2 linked regions of the Kluyveromyces lactis genome follow. The protein of the gene in region 2 interacts with the protein of the main gene of each other region in a pairwise test. Links are inferred from orthologs where the notes say so. Each region holds a gene or a part of one and is shown on either strand. Other genes may lie near its edges.

Evidence for each region. The genes of interacting proteins can lie anywhere in the genome.
Region 1: the proteins of TIF6 (region 2) and LSG1 interact in binary tests that used the Saccharomyces cerevisiae proteins (3 or more experiments, as listed by UniProt). The link is inferred for Kluyveromyces lactis from reciprocal best matches to the Saccharomyces cerevisiae genes TIF6 and LSG1.

The regions. Positions count from the first base shown.
Region 1 is NC_006042.1:641,389-645,185, forward strand, and holds LSG1 (ribosome biogenesis GTPase LSG1), read right to left. Parts: upstream 2,490-3,797; coding exon 543-2,489; downstream 1-542. Other genes in the region: RRT2 (diphthamide synthase), read left to right, coding at 2,652-3,797. UniProt on the Saccharomyces cerevisiae protein: GTPase required for the nuclear export of the 60S ribosomal subunit. Acts by mediating the release of NMD3 from the 60S ribosomal subunit after export into the cytoplasm.
Region 2 is NC_006040.1:175,407-178,288, forward strand, and holds TIF6 (translation initiation factor 6), read right to left. Parts: upstream 1,239-2,882; coding exon 501-1,238; downstream 1-500. Other genes in the region: SEC9 (Sec9p), read right to left, coding at 1-141; KLLA0_D02068g (uncharacterized protein), read left to right, coding at 1,858-2,882. UniProt on the Saccharomyces cerevisiae protein: Binds to the 60S ribosomal subunit and prevents its association with the 40S ribosomal subunit to form the 80S initiation complex in the cytoplasm. Is also involved in ribosome biogenesis.

The DNA.
Region 1 (3,797 bases), on a different chromosome or scaffold from region 2:
TACTGAACCAATTAAATGGGTAATATTTCCGCCCACCTACTATCAAACTACAAACTGTAGGAATTCAGTTGTTGTTAGCGAAAAGGGCGTTAAATGGGAGTATCCCAGCTCTGGGCATCTTGAGCTTACTTCTACATGCGTGGAATAAGTCTGCGCCATGATAACCACAACGCGAACCATAATTGAACATGCCGAAATGTGTTTAAGAGCCCTTGTTTGCTGAGCTAGGAACCAAAAAGATAACCACAAATGACAAGAATACTTATCAACTGGACCATGTACTGAGGTCAAGTATAAAGTAAACCAACTTTAACCAAGTTTTGTATCCTTTTCTTTTGGTTCATCAAATTTTTCAGTAAACACCGGGTAATGCAGTGACAAGTTGCATGCTAACCATAGGTCTTATAACCGGAAGCAGGGCAGCTAAGGAAGATATAAAGGATATGCAGTTACATTTCCATAATGAATGGGGATAATAGACTGTGCAAACAGTGGATTTATATATATATAAGAGTTTAGGATGAATTTAGATAGTACTTACATTAATCGGAAAACATGGAAGCCTTTTTCTTACTCTTCTTGTTCTTCTTGTTATGCTTCTTACCATTTTCGTTGGCGACGGTTTGCTTATGGAAAGGGTTCGTAAGTCTGCCTTGAACACCGTTCAAATGGAAGAAATTTTTGTCAAGTTCATCAGCTACGTTGTACAAGGCTGCTTGTTTACCACCATGGTTGACAGATTTAGCTTGTACTTTATCACCATCACCACCAATATGAGCAGAGAACGTTAATCGACTTAAATCGCGAGCAAGATCCAAATCTTGTATACCTTTGTGTTTGGCAGCTTCTGCAAGTTGCTCTTGTCTGTTGATAGGTAATTTACTGAACGTGTATAAATCTTTGTTGAATTCCTTACATTCTTCTCTGGTATATGGCGTATCATCGTCCATGTGAGGCGGTGGATTAATGTACAGGAGTTTACCGTTCACATAATCTTTGAGAATGTAACGAGAGGCACGAGATTCATCTGCGGCACCAAAACCTTGTGTCATATAACCACGAGCTCTGGCATAAGCAACGAGTAATTCTTGTGCAGTTGGTACTTCACCATTCCCACCCTCTTCTACGGATTTGGTCTGAATATGGATACCGTAAATGGCTTCCAAAAAGTATTTAGGGACCCTTTCTGCCACTAATGTCGATGGCCCAATATAGTCACGTAACTGATCGATCGGTAGAACACCGTTACACACCAATTCACCTTTATTGTATGCAAAATTAGGGAAAACTAGACCTGGACAGTCGCATAACGTTACCTTATCAGATAACTTGATAGTTTGGAAATGTTTGGTCTTACCAGGGGTAGAAGAGACAGAAACTTTCTTGGCACCCACCAAGGCATTTATAGTGGAAGACTTACCAACGTTTGGATAACCCACTAGACCTATTTGTATGATTGGCTCTTGACCGGGCAATGGAGGAAGTAGCGGATCGTTTGGCGCTTTATCTAAGAACAATTCTTCAAGTTGATCGATCTTCAGTATGTTAATTTTATCCAGAATTTCTTTGTTCACTTCTTCCCCATCAAGTTCTTCAATTTCTTCCTCTGTAGCCAGTATTTCCTCATCGTCCTCTTCTTCAACGTATTCATCCCCTAGTTCCTCTTGTCTCTCTAATATTTCATTAGCCTTGGCAGCAGAAAAGAATGTAAAAGAGATGCCCCTCGAGAGAAGGTACTTGGCCCAAATAATACGTTGCTTTCTTGTTAATAAATCCGCTTTGTTGATCAAAAGTAAATTCTGTTTCCTGTCATCCACTTCTTTCACATATTTCTCTAAATCTGTGGATCTGAATAATAATGGATCTCTGGCATCCACGATTTGGACTACTAGATCACATCGCTCAACAACTCTCCACAACTGCCTCCAAACTTCAATGTTTCTCTCGAATGGAGTCAATAACAAATCCTCGTTGTCTTCTTGCAAATAGGCTAATTTACGTCTCCATTCCAAGAATGCTTCCTTTTCTAACCTTTCTAATTCAAATCTGGTCATAGATTCATTCCACTTAGGCCTTCTTGGGACAATCAACTCTCTAGCATGTAATCTCTGCTTCTCGTTGATCTTACTTTTCTGCTCATTGGTCAAACTAAATCCCTGGGATGTGGCTGCATCGGCACCGTTATCCATTCTGATGATCTTGACATTAGAATGTCTGTCCGCTGTGAAATCCTTGTCTGCTAACTCAGCAGTACTCAAAAATTCATCTAATGCAGATTCCTGAGTAACAGATCTCAATTTTACCCAATTAGCTTCGTGCTTATCGGTAGTGAAACGTTCTTCACCATCTGGCAAATACTGCACTTCATTTTCCTTACGTCTTGCAGTTTGAATTGCCTTACCTAACCCAATAGTGTTTTTATTCTTCCTTTGAATAGGCTTTGGACCCTTTGGAGGTTTCCACTTCTTTGTTGTTTCCTTTGGTGGCATGCTGCTAGTCCGTGTTGCTTGTAGACCTGCCGTTAACTGCTAAGATTGTTGTGCTGATGCTTTGCTTATGATGAGATGAGCTGGTTAACATATTAAAATTTTCCGCTAGTACGTAAAGTGTAAAAAAGAAATTGTGTGGTAAACCTGAACTAGAACAGATGGATGGCTCAACAATCTTTACAAAAGCACCCGCATGATGAGGATGCAGAGTACGACTCCAACATAGGTATTGCATACCACCTTAGAGGAGCGACAAAATTAGAAGTCAAGAGTTTCTGCAGAATGGAAGAAACTGCAGCTGATAAAAGGGTTACCACGCGTCTTCCTCCATGTTGCTTGTGTATTTTAAGAGAGAAATTTATCATTGTGGGTACCTATCTCTTGCATAAGGACTCAGGCAATCGAACTGGCTCTATTGAGGTTTATGATAAAGAATTGAACCTTCTTTCTAGCATAAAAACCTATGGGGCAATTTTAGATTTGAAGCTCAATCCATTCGATGATACTTTACTCGCAACAGCTCATTCAACCGGTAATATGATTCTGTGGACGATATCTGTCGACGATGATAATTCATCAATTGATATCAAACTATTGAACAACCTTCAAGTATTTGATCCCACATGTCTAATAACGTCTCTCCAGTTTTCTCCATTGCTGGATAATCTCGTACTTTTAACCACTACTAATGGGGATTTTGCTACTGTTGATATCATACATGGTGAAATATGCTTTATAGAGGAGGTGGAGCCATCGTATTTCGACTCCTCAACAATAAATTATATTGAGGTGCCAAATGCAGACATCAAAGTTATAAATGTTCAGAATGACCATGAACAAATCTTTCATTTCAAACATTCTTTGGAGTGCTGGACCGGCGAGTTCGGCTGTTTGGCTCCTTTGAAAGATGTTGTATTCACTGGTGGTGACGACTCTGCAATTGCAGCTCATGATTTGAATTCAGGCAAAAAGATCTGGTCCAATTCAAAAATTCATCAAGCTGGTGTTACGGCAATTAAGGCTGCTAGGGAGACATTTAGAGGCAACAAGCCAACAAGTTTAATCACAGGCTCTTATGATGACCATATACGATCCTTTGATCTAAGAATGCTCTCAGAAACCACAATATATCCAGGGACAGACGTCCCTGTGGTTAATAAATGGGAAGACAATTTACAGGGTGGTGTTTGGAGATTCTCGGAGGCCCCAACGAATGACGGACTGTCAAATAACAGACTTATGGTTTGTTGCATGTATAATGGTGCGAAGGTTGTCAACGTCCAAAACGATCATTTCGTGACCGAGCAG
Region 2 (2,882 bases):
CTTCCCATATGCGGCAAACTTTTCTCTTCTATTTGATGGTGTAGTCTTGGTGGAAATTCCTAACTCGTTCAAATATTCACGGTTTTCTTCGGGGGTAGCCTCTGGAGGTGGCTTGATCTTGAAGAACTTCTTAATACCCATGGTTTCACTACGGTAACAGCAACCTTTTAACCTTATTTGATCGATGTTCCCCTTTTACCTTGTCTTTACCTATCTAAAAATTGATGTTAAAGGAACTACAACTTTTCGATTCTTTTGTTTCATTTAAATTTAAAGGTTTCTTTTGGGTCCAGTAGTACTTAGTGAACCACGATGCACAAAATACAAAAGAAAGAAGGAAATAAACAGTATGGGGTTGATGCAAATGCCAAAGAGCAATCAAAATAAAAATTGTACTATACAGATCCAGAGATATACACCAATATTACATTAAAAAATGGGGCGATAATGGGGGCCAAAACGATATAAATGACAGAAGAGAGCGATTGTATCAATTCCTTTTATGAGTAAGTTTCGATCAAAGTATCACGCAAGTTACCAGAGATAGCTTCTGGTTGAGCGTCTTGTAGACGGAAGATAGATTCGATCACACTTAATTCTGGAGCGGTGGTATCTAGACCAGTAACTGCCAAATAGTCGTTCACGACCATACCAGCACCGACGACTTGCGAACCACGGTTCACAGTACCAGCAACTAGTGGGACTTGCAACAAAGAGGAAAGTTCTTCTTGGTCTTGTACTGTAGTCTGAGGATGCACTAGACCACCTTGGTTAGACAACGCACAATATGAACCAACAAGAACGTTACCCGAAATTGTTTGACGGAAAACTTCAACACCTAAGACATCGGCAATCAACTCCTCAGTTTCTCTGTCGATGTCTGGATGAACCAAAGCAACATAATCATTACAACAGATAACATTACCTAACGCAGATAATCTCTCCTCAACTCTTTGAACCTTCACAGCATCTGGCAAACAGTTTCTCAAATGTTGTAATTCTTGGTCGGTAGTTTGAGTTGGAACCAATAACCCTCTACGGTTACCAGCAGTCATACGACCAACAATCCTCGTACCTGCAATAGTGGTATGAGCAATAGGAATAGCATCTCCTAATTCGGCTTCAAACGCAGAATAAAAGTTCTCCGAACCACCAAGTGCCACCAAACAGTACGAGTTAGTTAGCTTCGAAAACACACCAATTTCGTTAGAATTCTCAAATTGTGTCCTAGTCGCCATAATTTCAGTTGATTTATCTGCAGTGGTATACTGGCGTAACAAGCAGAACTAGTGTTTATAAGTCAGAAGAACTGTACTAATTCAAGCCGAATCAACCATCCGCAAGATGAGATGAGATGAGCTTAGAAATTATCCAGTGAAATCTTTAAAATTTTCCATATTGCAGTGTTTTAAAGAAACGAAACACAAATTAGGTTACCCGGAGAAGAACACACATACAGTACTATATGGGTATCTCGTACCCTTATAGATGTATAAATTTGATCAGTGAGAGTTATCCAACAACCGTTCGAAGCTTAGACGAGAAATAGCTCTCCATTTCACATTCTTTCTTCTGATCACCAGACGATTCAACGCAGGGTATACCGTACACCTGAGCGTGTTTTATTTGTTACCCGCACTTGCGTCGAATATCTTCACTAAGTCGTCAATTTCCGACATTTAAACAGCTTCAAGCTGAAAAAGCGACACATTCACAACAAATATATTGACACAAAAGCATGTTGCATGTATCTAACCTGCAGTAAGTTACATTTACGAAAACATTTTAAAGCTGTTCGATCAGTGGCAAGCAATTCATAAGAATCAAGTTTCACTGAATCATTTTTCTCTTTCCAAGATGACTGATTGTAATAGTACAACGGAGCGCAGTTTGACGTCTGGATTGGAAGCAATGTCATTGAAGGCAATATCCCCATCGAAGTTGAATAGAAGGCATAAAGTCTCGAGCAAACCTGATAAATTGAATGAAAATGTCTGTTTGGATCGCAGAGCAGAAGTTTTGGTTAATACGGAAAATGAAATGCCAACAGAAATTGTCAGTAAGATAAAGAACGAAAACTTCCATTTGCAATTGGAATTGGAACAGAAGAACCATGAGATTTCCAAATTAAAGTCAATGCTCTTACCTAAACTGACACCACCTGCAATTGATCTAAGATTAACGACAAGTTTAAAAGACCCTTTGTACTACCATCCGGAAAGCAACAAAATTCCCGGTATGTCTGGGGCTACAGTGACAAATTCAGATTACGTGTCCCATTTCTCATCATCATCATACGATGGGAATAGAAATGACGTTAGAGAGACCTCAACCGTTGCTAGTACTACAATATCAAGAAAGGAAAAAAACCATATGTTGTTCACTAGGAATATTTTACCCTTTATTCGGGATTCCATCAACATGTATAAAAACTCCCATGTTTTAAATGAAGAAGTGGTCCCGATAGAAAAAGAGCTCGATAAGTTTTATGATAACTCCTTGAAGAAGGACGAAAAATGTGAAGTATTTTCTAATGTACTCTTAGGGTTACTCAGGGTACAGAGATTAAATATAGCGGCGTTGAACAGAGAATTAGAGTTGAAAACAGTGGAGAGAAAAATGGATTACTTGGCAACATTGTTTTTGGATCCACAAGAGTATGAAATACCACGTCATAGCTCCATGAAACGAATCAGAGATCAGATGTTGGATGTGATTATTTCTCTATATGGAGAATTACCAAATCCTAACCAAAGGGCAGCAAGAGAAATGAAATATCAGCAGCCACAACAGGTTCCTTTGAAGATAAAATCAGATTCAAAACTGAACCGACAGTCTCATAATCCTGAAATACTACCTATTGGTTATTCAAACTCATCTTC